3 linked regions of the Rattus norvegicus genome follow. The protein of the gene in region 3 interacts with the protein of the main gene of each other region in a biochemical or structural test. Links are inferred from orthologs where the notes say so. Each region holds a gene or a part of one and is shown on either strand. Other genes may lie near its edges.

Region 1 (4,567 bases), on a different chromosome or scaffold from region 3:
ATAGAAGTTCAGAGCTCAAAAGTCTCAGGTCAGACTATTAGGTTTCCCACACTGACTAAGTAATGAAAGTTGATTAAGCCTTCTCATTCTTTCCCAGGAGGAGTGGAGTGAAAGCTAGAGTAGCCTGTGCATAGATATAGCATGTATCTAACAGGGTCTTCATGAAGGTTAAACAAAATAGGCACAAGACTACCTTACCTTTACTAAAATCTTGATAACAGTTCCTGTTTTTATCCATTTCTGATTAATAGCCCTAAGCCAGGTACATAGTGGCATATTTTAGTAGTCACTGAAGAAACATTTCTAGTTGAAATCAGTTCATTTATGCAGTATAGTCATTAAGAACCCAAAATATGCTGAGGACTGTGGATTTGGGAGCTACTGGGGTAAACAGCACGTTTTTTCCTTACTGATTCAGTGGGGAAGACTGAGTAAGCCAGCCATACTACAGAGTAAAGGAAAAGATTGCCATGGGTTGTTGATTATATGCCACTCAGAGTGTAGCTCGGTATTCATAATCATAACCGAATGAAACGCACCCCTCACTTAAAATCCAGTCTGGAGCTGGAGAGATGGCTCAGTGGTTAAAATCACTTGCTGCCCTTGCAGAGGTTCAAGTCTTAGTACCCCCATGGTGGCTCATAGACATTAGCCAGTTCCAGGAGATCCAGTGCCCTCTTCTGCCCTCATACATGCTGATAAACATCATGCACAAAATATTATCTTTAACTTTCCCCTTCTGTTTCGCTGTTTTCCTCTTTACCGCATGTGTTGCACCTTACAGGGCTTAGCTGTTTCTTTTACAAACTTGACGTGTTTTTAGAAAGGTCTCAGCTGACAAATGGCCTACTTAAGGAAGTTTCCCCTACTTTGAAACAGACATCTGGTTTCTTTATTTCCGCAGCTTACAATTCTTTGAGGTTTTCTTGTCTGTAAAATTCAAGCAAAGATAGCAGAGGGTAAGAGTAGTTTGTGTTTAGGGATAAATTAGTGAATTCTGCAAGCCCTCTTCAAAGTGAGTTCTAGCCACTTGTAACCAAGCATGGTGACCTGAGTTCAGTCTCCAAAACTCACATAGTGAAAGGAGACATCCTTTGACCTGGTGACAGGAGAAAAGTAAATCTGGTTTGTTTTTAATGTCTCTGACAAGGTGTGGTGCTACATGCCTATAATATGCCATGATGAAACAAGAGGGTAATGGCAACTTTGGGACCAGCCTGGAATATACAAGTTCTAGGCCAGTTGGGGCTACATATCAAGACCGGATCTCAAAAAAACAAATGATTGGGCTGGAGAGATGGGTCAGTGGTTAAGCCACTGACTGCTCTTCCAGAGAGGTCTGAGTTCAAATCCCAGCAACCACATGGTGGCTCACAACCATCTGTAATGAGATATGATGCCCTCTTCTGGTGTGTCCGAAGACAGATACGGTGTACTTATATATAATAAATAAATCTTTAAAAAAAAAAACAAAAAACAACCCAACACCATGATTATAGAGAGTAACACAGTAGTGTGGCCAAGCTCCTAAGGTGTTTAAGGTGAGAAGTAATGGTGGTCCAAGCTTCAACAAGGAGTGTGGCACAGGAACGGAAGTTTGGTGTTGGGCTAGAACTGAGGACTTAGAAATCAATACATTGACTATAGTTGGAACCGTAGGGATGGATCAGGAGAGTGTATAAATGAGTAGGTCCTGCACTGTTTTAGAAATGGCTGTGACTTTAGAATAAGGAGTTGTAAATTAAATGCTGGTTTAAGTGTCACCTCTTACTACATGTGTGTTGCTGAGTGTCATACTATGTGTCTGAATCAGATGTATCCTATGTTTTTTGGTGTTGTGTAAAAATTATGTGACTTGTGAATCATATCTCAGGACCTGTCCAGCCCAAGGCTCTGTGTTCACTCCCTCATGTTCACTGTTAGTACCTTGCCTTAGCAACTAGGTGGTATGGTGGTAGCGTGGGCACTGCCACCAGCTCTTGGGTTTTCTCCCCTCCTATCATTGTCCTTAGGATTGTGTGTAATCTGTGAGTGGGATTGAGGTATACATGGGGCTTTTTGTTTTGGTGGTGGTAGTGTTTTGGTTTTGTTATTTGAGACAGGGTTTCTGTTTATAGCCCTGGCTGTCTTGAAACTCATTCCGTAGACCATGCATTGAAGTGCTGAGATGGAGGCATGTGAGGTAGAGGTTTGTTTTGTCCTTACTGGTTTCTGTTTTCCTGTAGGTGGATTGCTCAGGCTATGAACTAGAGCACTTACATACCAAAGTGACTTCACTGTGTAACCGGATAGAGCAGATTCCGTGCTACAATGCCAAGGATCGCCTGGCTCAGTCAGGTAAACATGTGGGCTCTGCTTGCTCATGGCCGTTACCCCGACACCAGTGCCTTGTTCTCAGTACTCACTCTGGTATTTCTCTCTAGATATGGCCAAGCGGGTAGCCAACTTACTGCGGGTAGTTCTGAGCCTTCAGCACACTCCTGACGCCACCTCCAACTCCACTCCGGACCCTCAGCGAGTCCCTTTGCGTCTTTTGGCTCCCCACATTGGCAGGCTCCCTATGCCTGAGGACTATGCCTTGGAGGAACTGCGAGGCCTTACCCAGTCCTACCTTCGAGAACTGACTGTTGGGAGCCAATGAGCCTGGCTCCTGCCCATCCGCACTCGCCACCACAGTCTCCCACATTGTTTTAATTGACACTCTGCCAATCTCTGGGAGTCCTCCGCTCCTCTTCGCTGCCCTTCGCAGCATCCTCTAGTTATTCAGGGGTTTTCATAATACTGAGCATATCCTACCATAGCTCATAAGGGCTTCTGGAACAGCAACAACAAAAAACACAGGTCTCCATTGATCAACCTCAAGACCATTCAGTTTTTTTCTTTTGAAAAATGGTCAATAAAACCTCTTTGGCAGAACCTCCCAAAACCCAGGGAATTCTTTTCCACACCCAGAGTTCTGACTCTCACCCCAGATATATGACTGACTGACCTTCCCTTACTACAGATTTGTCTCTCAAGTAGATTTCTCAGTTAACAGTGTGTTTGGGAATCAAGAGAGTTGGACCTTGTTCTTTGACATATTTAAGAAAGAAGGGCTGTCTACCATGGAGGCGGAGATCTTCAAGGCTTTTACTCATGCCTTGTATATCCTTTGGACACCATGCTATCATGTGCAGTGGCCCCAAGCTACAGAGAACAACTCTTGAGAAGCCCCAGAACTGCTCTGACCCTTGATCATCAGTCATTTTCCTCGATTTGCCAGAGGAGTTTAGATGAAGAATGTCAAGGGTGTTCCTCCCTGCCCTCCCATCTAGCCAAGAACATTTCTCAGAAGGTAAAGCTGTCACTGCGACAGGTCTGGCTGGGCCCAGGGGCAGATAGGGAAGGCCTTCACCACATTGCTGCTGGCTATGGGAAGTCCCAGGCACTAGCCTGAAAGAGCGGATATTTGGGGCTGTCACAGACAATATGGCCACCCCTGGGTCTTTATGCATGAAGATTATGTAAAGGTTTTTATTAAAAAATATATATATAAATGATCTAGATTATTTTCCTCTTTCTGAAGTACTTTCTTAAAAAAAAAATAAAATGAAATGTTTATAGTATTCCTGGTGGTTTTGTCTTTGTGTTTTGGGAACTCTGGAATCTTTAAGAAACAGATCCTGGGCTGGGGATTTAGCTCAGTGGTAGAGCGCTTACCTAGGAAGCGCAAGGCCCTGGGTTCGGTCCCCAGCTCCGAAAAAAAGAACCAAAAAAAAAGAAAGAAACAGATCCTAAGTTAAGAGAACAAGGGGGCTGAGGAGTGAGTTCAGCATATCAGAGCACTAACCACACAAGCCTGACACCCCAAGTTCACTTCTCAGAATCTTCATAAAAAGGCAAGCTGTTAGCACACCCCTGTAATCCCAGAGCGCTGTATGTGTCTGGCAGCACTCTCCAAGGACTTTTTACATGTATACAGTGTATTTGTCATACCTATCACTCCCACTCTCAATTCTCAGCATTATGGTTGTTTTTGTTTTGTCTGTCTGAGTTTATTACTATTTTACGTGTGTTGTGGTTTACTTGTATGTATATCTGTTCACCACATATGTGCCTAGTGCCTGTGGAAGCCAGAGGGCATCAGATCTCAAGAACTGGAATTAGGAACAGTTACGAGCCACTTTAAGGGTGCCGAGAATCAAACCTGGGTCCTCTTGGAGGAGCAGCCAGTGTTCTTAGCCACTAACCCATCTTCCAGCCCCATTGTGTCAGAACTCTTGTTAGGGGATGGAGACAAGCGACACCCTGGAAACTGACCTGCCATCTCGCCTGGGGAAGGCAGCATGTCATCAGGAACTACAGACCTACCTCAAAGAGGAGGGAGGCAGTAATAATTCCCACATTGTCCTGAACTTGAGCACACATGACACTCACAAATGAATACTGGACAGTTAGATGCTGAGCTGAGATTCAGAGCACAAGCACTTTTCCCCATCTGCAGTACTGGGAATTGAACCCAGGTTCTTTGCATGCTCGGCAAGATCTCTACAGTTGAGCCACATCTCAAAGGCTAAATTTGTAAGGA
Region 2 (4,605 bases), on a different chromosome or scaffold from region 3:
AGAACTTAAAAGCCACTGAGGGGCTGGGGGCCAGGTGTGCTTACTGGTAAAGTGTTTGCCTAGCACGTCAATACAAAGCCAGCACCACCTCAAAAACACAAACAAAACCAGGCATGGTGATGCACACCTTTAATCCTAGATGATCTACAGAGTAAGATCCAGAACATATAAGGCGATGTAGTAAGACCCTACTCCAAAACAATCACCCAGTGATTATTTAAATCATTATAAATAATTTACTATCCTGAGAGGTGGCTCAGTGGTTAAGAGCACTGACTGCTCTTCCAGAGGTCCTAAGTTCAAATCCCAGCAACCACATGGTGGCTCACAGCCATCTGTAATGGGATCCGATGCCCTCGTCTGGTGTCTGAAGACAGTTACAGTGTACTTATATGTAATAAATAAATCTTTAAAAAAAATAAAATAAATAATTTACTATTAATCTCTAACTTATGAAAAAATGAATCAAGGCTGAAAGATGGCTCAGTGGTTAAGAGCATGAGGGCCAGAGCTCATTCCCAGCACCCACATGAGGCAGCTCACAGACTCCATGGGATCAGCGCCCTCTTCTGGCCTCCCCAGGCACCTGCACTCACACTCAGTCACACACAGACTTCACAGAAGCCCAGTGTGATATGGCACATGTCTGAACTCAAGAACACCCAGAAGGGGGGTTGGGGATTTAGCTCAGTGGTAGAGCGCTTGCCTAGCAAGCCCAAGGCCCGGGTTTGGTCCCTAGCTCGAGAAAAAAAAAAAAAAAAAGAACACCCAGAAGGCTAAGATGAATTCAAGGAAAGCCTGAGCTACAGTGGTCTACTACCTCAATAACACACAGATCAGAATTAGTAGTTGGGTGGTAGAAGACACTAGGCCAAATCTTCAACCTCTAAAGCCAAAAAAAAAAAAAAAAAAAAATTTGTCAATGGCCTTTGCATGTGGTTTCTTTGTCCCCTCAGTACTTCCTCAGCACCTCCCCCAGCACCCCAACCTACAGCTGCTCAATAAAATTATTTGAGCTCGGGCTGGAGAGATGGCTCAGAGGTTAAGAGCAGTGACTGCTCTTCCAGAGGTCCTGAGTTCAATTCCCAGCAACCACATGGTCCCTCACAACCATCTGTAATGGATCCGATGCCCTCTTCTGGTGTGTCTGCCGACAGCGACAATGTACTCATATATAATAAATAAATAAATCTTTTTTTTTTTTTTGGTTCTTTTTTTTCGGAGCTGGGGACCGAACCCAGGGCCTTGCGCTTCCTAGGTAAGCGCTCTACCACTGAGCTAAATCCCCAGCCCCATAAATAAATCTTTTAAACCCTTTTTCCTTTTCTGTGGTACTGAGGATTCAGTTAGCTAGGCCTAGTATGCACCTGAGTGTTCAACAATAGCTCCAGCCCAGGGGCTTCTGGCTTTCTCCTTTTAAGTGTCTCACTGAGTTGCACTTCACACAGGCTGTACTTGAACTTGTGACACCACAGCCTCTGCCTTCCCTCAACCAGCTGGGATTAAGGGCCTATACTACTAGACCCAGCTCTGTTTAAAGAAGAAAAACAAAACAGTAGGAATGTAACATACATTTGAAATATGTGTGTGTGTGTGTGTGCGCGTGTGTGTGTGTGTGTGTGTGTGTGTGTGTGTGTGTTAGTGGAGATGGAACCTGGGCCCTTGCACATACTTGTCAATTGCCACACCACTAAGTCACATTCTCCAGCCCTGAACAAACACTATCGAAGGTTGCAAAACTAAGACAACCAAGTGAAGGACAATATTCTCACCCATCTGACCCACCTGCGATGGTGGAGATCTGGCTCACTGGGATGGTGGCTGCCTTCTGCAGGTCCATCTTTATCTTTTTGATCTACCAAGAGAATGGTTACTTGTTAAGTGGGCTTGTGCAGAGCTGAGCACTTGCTTAGAATGAGGGAATATGATAGACCAAGTACGTTGCTAGAACATCAGGCTGCCAGGCACCACCAAAATTTTGGCCACCCGATTTCTCCCGTACCTGACTGTCCTTGCTGCTGGTCAGGTCCTCAAAGGCCAACACGCATTTGGCAGAAGCATCCTGAAGTTGCTGGTACCACTGCATCGTACTATCCTGTACCTTCACCTGCAGGTCTGAGAACAAAGACAGGCCTTAGTGGCAGGGAGCTTATGCAACATGGTGTCTGAACTAGGACTACACTATGCACCGGCTGCTTCGGTGTCACGGTCACCCTACAGAGCAGACACTAACACTCTTTCCATTTAACAAGAAACAGGCACAGAAAGACACACTGCTCTGTCCATTTCTGTGGCCAGACTTTTGCTACATTGGGTCGTGGGGGTGGTTCTTTCTTCCATTCTTCCAACCCCTAACAATAGATAGGATAAAAAAAGGATAGAGTGGAAAGGAAAGAGATCCCTGAATAAAGTCAGGGGCCAGAAAGAGGGGATGTTATCATTAGACTACTTCGTGCTGATAAGGAGTGTTGAGTTCTTTGGGGCAAGTTTGATCTTCACCAGCAAGAGATCTAATTTGGGACGCAACTACTTAACAAACCATAGCCAACAACAACCAGAACCTCCCCACCTCAGGGCCCTAGCAGTTATGAACCCTTAGAAAAAAGTCCCCAGAACCCCAGACATTACACAGTCACAGAAACTATCTATAGCTGGCAAAATCATAGTCAGCTGCTGTGGACGATATGAAGCAGTCCTAGATTCCACACCTGGGATTAGAACAAAAACCTATTTTTGTGTTTTAAAGAAACCAAAACTCCAAAACTGTCACTACAGATCCTCGAACATATTAAACAGGGGTAGCTGCACTATTATTTAAAGTACATAGAAGTGGGGTTGGAGAGATTGAAGTTCAGCAGATTCACACATTACATACAATCCTCTGAAACTCTTTTTAAAGAACAGTTGCTATTCTTATTGAAGAAAGAGCGTAGCTACTGGATCCCAGCAGCCACAAGGTGGCTCAAAACTCCCTGTACCTTAAGTGCTCTCTTCTGGCCTCTGTGAGCACCGGGCACACATGTAGTACACATAGATACACGCAGGCAAACACTCATGCACATAAGACAAAAACGAGTAAATCTTAAGCAATTCTTTCAAAATAAAATATGGTGGTGTATACCTTTAATCCTTGCACTCAGGGATCACAAGCAGGGGATCTCTATGAGTTCAAGGCCAGCCTAGTCACAAAGTAAGTTCCAGGATGGTCAGGGCTACACACCAAAAATACCCTGTCTCAAAAACCCGAACCAAACAAACAAATGCTCAAGCAGTAGTGATATTTATAACACCACTCTCACTAGATGTAGACAGGCTTTCTGAGTCCTGGGGAACATGGCAGAATCTAGAATTGGCTCCAGATCAACCAAAACTGTATGTAACACATTAGGCAAGAGTTCTGATGAACTGGGTGGTCCTGTAGTGTGACACCTTCACGTTTGTCACATTTGCTTTTGCTTTTTTTTTTTTTTTAATATCCTAACACCTAGCCCAGTTAAAGGACTGCATCCACACCACAACCCACCTTCACTCTGTGTCCCTACTAGGCTTGGGCTGGGTGCAGAGGTCTTGGTGGGAGCCCCTGGCCCCTGCTGCACCTGTGACTCCTGCAGCTTGACCCGAGCCTCTTCTTCATCTTTCTTCTTCATTTCAGAGGCTCTGGTGATCTCCTGCTCCAAATTTGAGAGGAGGTCCCGCATTTCCTGCAGGACTCGCTCAGCCTCAGCTTGGTTCTCTGCTGTGGGATAGCCACTCTGTCAGAGTGAGAGACAATAGTTACCACTGACTTCCTAGATAGATCCTGTGGGGCTAAGTCATACCACACACAGTCCATTTCTAAAGTGGGCCAGCTGAGTCAGTGAGTACACAGGGTCAAACGTTGGCACCTACTAATTTCCTGTTCTCTGAAGGAGTCACTGTTAAAGAGCTGGGAGTGAGGGTGGCTCATGCCGAAATCCTACCCCCTGAGAGGCAGAGGCAGGAAGATTGCTGCAATTCCGAGACCAGCCAGGGCTAGTGAGTCTCGGTTGAGAGAGAGAGAGAGAGAGAGAGAGAGAGAGAGAAAGAGACTTCACAACCCTTATGACACCCTGAATTTGATACCTGGAACCCCCCCATAGAGAGAGGAGAGCACTGACCCTACAAAATTCTCTGATTTCTAAACATGCACACATACAACATAACATCAGAAGGTTTAGCACAGTCACCACCCCCACAGCAGCCACCCAGGACGTTTCGAAGCTTTCAGCAACACTGCTCAGAGCAGTCTTTTTTAAAAAACCTGTGACAAATATACTGTGTCATATACCAGTAATAGCAGCTAGCAATCCTTGGAACAACGCCTTAAGTCCCAAGTCATGTTGAGCTACACAGTAAGATCCTATAACAAAACAACAACAAAAATACAAATCAAAAAACAAACAAAAAACCCAACAGTGGGCTAGAGAAATGGCTCAGCAGTGAGAAGCATGTGCTGATTTTGCAGAGGGCCTGAGTTCGAATCTCAGATAATGGCTCACAACCATCTGTAATGAGAGCTGATGCCCTCTTCTGGTGTGTACTTATATATAATAAAGAAAGAAATCTTTTTTTTTTTTTTTTTTAAGA
Region 3 (4,605 bases):
TGCTGTATTTGACGTGAAGAAGCAGTTTGCCTTGTGTCATTTGATAAAATATCATAATTGTATTTTGTCATTAGAGGCTCAACTGAGTGAGAAGATTTCACTTCAGGCAATCCAGCAGCTAGTTAGAAAATCGTACCAAGCTCTGGCTTTGTGGAAACTCCTTTGTGAACATCAGTTTACTGTCATTGTAGGAGAACTTCAAAAGGTGAGGTGGCTTTTTGTCCTTCAGGGTTATTTAATACTCAAAATGCTTATTTCTTTTTTAAGTTTATGTGTGTTGTATGTATGTTGTGGCACATGCCTTTGAGGCGGCGGATCTTTCTAAATTGTAGGCCAGCTTGGTATACATAATGAATTAGCTCCGGGTCCGCCAGAGCTGTGTAGGGATAACTCCATCTCAAACTAAATAAATAAATGAAATACAATATTGATGCATGTGTGTGTTCTGCCTATATTTTTGTAAGAGCATGAAATGCCTGCCTGGTGGTGCCCAAAGAAGCCATCAGGTCCCCTTGTGCTGTCATCTTCCATGTGCATGCTGGGAATTGAGCCTGGGTCCTCTGTAAGAGCAGCTCTACTGACTGCTGAGCGGCCTACCCAGTCCCCACAGTTGCAAAGTGAAAAACTGATCTCCAGTTCTCTTTCCCAGTGGCCAGAGAGTGGCTAGGGATGTTGTTTAGTCTTCCTTGATTTTTTTTTTTTACATAAACTTTTGTTTTCCCCTTTTTAAAATGTGAAGCTCTTCTATTTAGTTGATGAAAGCCATCTTATTTTTTATTCCAGGTAAGATGTTTTGGTTTTTATTGGATTATAAACTTAGGATAGGAACTTCATAGCCTCTGTGTCGTTTGTGATCTGTCTTCAAACCTTCCTTGCCTTCCATTACTAATTATGTGCTCAAGGAATGCAAATTAGATATTTCCTCCAAAACTTGCACTATTTTGTAGATATTTTTGTTGAAATTTAAGAAAAACATCTATCACTATAAAAATACGTACTGGACTATAAATGACCCTACACTTTAGAGCTATACCTTAGCAAGAGCATTTATGTAAAATGCAGGTCAAATTCATGCATCTAATTCTGGAATTGCAACATTATTTAGGAAAAACAAAGCGGGGTTGGGGATTTAGCTCAGTGGTAGAGCGCTTGCCTCGCAAGCGCAAGGCTCTGGGTTCAGTCCCCAGCTCCGAAAAAAAAAAAAAAGAAAAAAGAAGAAGGAAAAACAAAGCACAAGATTCTTTTTGTCTGATCATGAGACAGGATCTCACTATGTCGCTCTGACTATCCCGGAACTGAAGGGTGTTCTCCAGGCTGGCCTCCGTCTCACAGAGGTCTGCCTGCCTGAACCTCCAGGTGCTGACACATGGCCGGCCAGAGGTTTACATGTAGCCTAGTGAAGGTTCTTCCCAATGACCAAAGTGTCCTGATACTAGTGCTGACTCTGCCTTGATCTAACTTTTCTCATACATAAAGCCAGAGGTTTGAATTAAACCTTCTAGAGGCTAACTGCATCCTTATATGATTTTATTGCAGCTTTTTTGCAGAGCTATGTCAGTGTTTGGTGTATTTTCTTTGTCAGTGCTAGGAAGCAAACCCCAGCCCTATTCTTATTTAAATTAGAGTCTATTGATAGAGTCTTTTATTACAAATGAAATTTCGGCATGCTGGCTCATAACTTTAATGCTAACATTTGGGATTCTAGGCAGGTAGATTTATGTTTAAGGCCAGCCATATCTACATAGTAAGTTCTAGGCCACAAGTGCTACCTCATGAGGCCCTGTCCCAAAAAACAAACAAATTTTACTTTGTGAGGAAATAAAGTATTCTTTGATTTTGATGAAAGGTTTTCTCTCTCTTTCTAGGAATTTCAAGAGCAGCTGAAGATCACTACCTTTAAGGATCTGGTAATCAGGGACAAAGAGGTCACTGGAGCACTAATTGCTTCTCTCATCAACTGCTACATCAGAGACAATGCTGCTGTAGATGGCATTAGTTTACATCTGCAGGACACCTGTCCGCTTCTGTATAGCACAGATGATGCAGTTTGTTCCAAGGTTTGTGTCACTGCTTCTTCAGTGTTTTTATATGTGTGGTTTCATAATGATGAGTGGGAATGGAGAATCATAATGATCTTTCCTCATATCACCTCAGGATCAGTTCTTAATGTGTTACAGTGTCAGAATCCTCAACTGAGACATGGGTTGAAGGACATGGTTTCTTAAACATACATGCATACTCCTTTAAGTGTTACATTTTGACTCTTTGGCAGTATGTGTTGGCCATGGTTTAAGACAAAGCATATAGGACTGGACAGTAGTGATTTGGGTTCTGTGGTTAAGAGCACAGACTGTTTATCCAGAGGACCCAGGTTCAACTACCACCACCCATATGGCAGCTAGTATTGTCTGTAAAACCAGTCCCAAGGGTTCTGCTGCCCTGCCCTGACATCCATGGGCATCAGGATCGTGCTACACAGACATACATGCAAGCAAAACACCCACACACATAAAGTCTAAAAAGGTCAAAGTTAGCAATTTAGGAAAAATCACTTAATTTAGTAATTAAGAAAATTGGAGTTTGTTTCCTTCCTTAAAAAGTAAGGAAAGTCACTAAAACGTTAAGTAAAATTTGGAGTGAATCAAAGTTAATGAGGCAATTCTTATTGATCCTTTCCTACAGGTGAAAAAAAATTAAGTGTCACATGATGATCTGCCTGCTGACCAATAATGTATTGACTAGGCAAGAACATTCCCAGACAAGGCTCTCTGGGAAAGACTAGCTAGGATTATTTTGGTCAAAATCTTTTCTGCCTAAAAGTAAGAAGTAAGTTTGTAGAATTTTTATTTATAATGATGATAAGCACATGTACATTTAGTCAGATCCGCTAAGCATACGGACAGCACCGTCTGCCTGCTTGGCTTTGCCTCTGTTTACACTTGTGTCCTCTCTTTAGGCAAATGAACTTCTTCAGCGTTCCCGGCAAGTTCAGAGTAAGAGCGAGAGAGAGAGGATGTTGAGGGAGTCTCTGAAGGAGTACCAGAAAATCAGCAACCAAGTAGACCTCCCCAGTGTGTGTGCTCAGTATCGGCAAGGTGAGAACCAAATCCTTTTGTCTTTTTTTTTTTTTTTTTTTTGGTTCTTTTTTTCGGAGCTGGGGACCGAACCCAGGGCCTTGCGCTTCCTAGGCAAGCGCTCTACCACTGAGCTAAATCCCCAACCCCCTTCTTTGTCTTCTTTAAGTGAGAGGACACAAGGCCATGTGTGAACACAGCACAGTGATCTAGAGACTACTCAGAGGCCAGTTTTCTAGCGTCTGTGACCACAGTGACACTTTAAATTGTGAGGTTGCTTTCATTTATTTTTTCCTTTTCATCCTGAAGAGTAAACTAGCCTCTGTACATGTGAGACAGTGCTCGTTTATTTTTTTGAGACAGTCTTCCATGTACCTCAGGCTGGCCCTGAACTGATCTCCTTGTAGTCACAGATAGCCTTCAGCCTCTGATCTTTCTGCCTCCCCCTCCAAAGCCTGAGATTGTATACATGTTCCTGTTTCTGGCTAATATAGTTTGAGTTTCAGTTCTTTTTAAGCCACACTACTAAAGTATACTTAATTTTTAAATGCCTAACATTTTTGTCTAACTTTAAAAGTAAAAACTATAACTATCAGCACAGATTTAAATTACAAGTTTTTTCTCTGATACTTGTTTGTTATTTTATATATAAAGGTTTTTTCCAAGAAAAATATGTGCTTTCTAGCCAGATTAGACCCTTCTTTCCATAATCACATCAGAAATATTTTCTAATAGAAATACAGCATTCCATTCTTGGTTCCTTTCTATGTCTGCTAAGGAAAACATGTGCAGCTTAGTAGTCAGCTCTGAGCCCTTGGCCTTTGTCTTTCCCATCAGTGCGCTTTTATGAGGGTGTGGTGGAACTGTCTCTTACTGCTGCGGAGAAGAAAGATCCTCAGGGTCTTGGACTCCATTTCTATAAGCATGGGGAACCGGAAGAGGATGTGGTTGGTCTTCAGACTTTCCAAGAGAGGTGAGTCCTCAACCCTGGGCTGATTGTTGGGATTTTAAGAGACAGATCTCTCTTTGTATAAAATCTTTATCGATAATATAGGAAAAGAACTTTTCAAGTACAACTTTTATAAAATTTAACTCTGTTCTCAGTTAAAGGGAACTGGGTTTTTAGGGGAGGGGGAAAAAAAGAACTGGGTTTTTATCAAGTCCTGGATCCAGGTTATAATTTCTAGCCTATATGTAAGATTTTAGCCTTCTGAAAATTGAGAAAGCACTTACAAGTGTGTTGTGTGTGTATACATGTGCTATGTGCACATGTGTACTTACATGCATGCTTGGACGTCAGGTGAAGACACGAGGTGACCTGTGTTCTGTCACTCTCCGACCTGCTCCTTTACAGGGATTCTCACTAAAGCTGCATTCAGGCTGGCACTCAGCAGGTCCTTAGTCCTTGGTCCCCGCAGTTCTGGAGCTGCTAGCACAGACAGAGATGGCCACCCCGTTCTTTCTGCATGGGTCCTGGAAAACTGAACCCAGGTCCTCATGCTTGCAGGGCAGCCAGTTTCCTCTTCTGAAC

The links.
Region 1: the proteins of Nup155 (region 3) and Nup98 form a complex in vitro, tested with the Homo sapiens proteins (2 studies listed by BioGRID). The link is inferred for Rattus norvegicus from reciprocal best matches to the Homo sapiens genes NUP155 and NUP98.
Region 2: the proteins of Nup155 (region 3) and Gle1 form a complex in vitro, tested with the Homo sapiens proteins (2 studies listed by BioGRID). The link is inferred for Rattus norvegicus from reciprocal best matches to the Homo sapiens genes NUP155 and GLE1.

Annotation. Positions count from the first base shown.
Region 1 is NC_086019.1:165,905,443-165,910,009, reverse strand, and holds the end of Nup98 (nuclear pore complex protein Nup98-Nup96 proprotein), read left to right. Parts: intron 1-2,225; coding exon 2,226-2,337; intron 2,338-2,423; coding exon 2,424-2,641; 3' UTR 2,642-3,605; downstream 3,606-4,567. UniProt on the Homo sapiens protein: Plays a role in the nuclear pore complex (NPC) assembly and/or maintenance. NUP98 and NUP96 are involved in the bidirectional transport across the NPC. May anchor NUP153 and TPR to the NPC.
Region 2 is NC_086021.1:33,613,053-33,617,657, reverse strand, and holds part of Gle1 (mRNA export factor GLE1), read right to left. Parts: intron 3,753-4,605; coding exon 3,524-3,752; intron 2,116-3,523; coding exon 2,003-2,115; intron 1,856-2,002; coding exon 1,786-1,855; intron 1-1,785. UniProt on the Homo sapiens protein: Required for the export of mRNAs containing poly(A) tails from the nucleus into the cytoplasm. May be involved in the terminal step of the mRNA transport through the nuclear pore complex (NPC).
Region 3 is NC_086020.1:58,962,724-58,967,328, forward strand, and holds part of Nup155 (nuclear pore complex protein Nup155), read left to right. Parts: intron 1-74; coding exon 75-205; intron 206-1,865; coding exon 1,866-2,057; intron 2,058-2,956; coding exon 2,957-3,095; intron 3,096-3,911; coding exon 3,912-4,047; intron 4,048-4,605.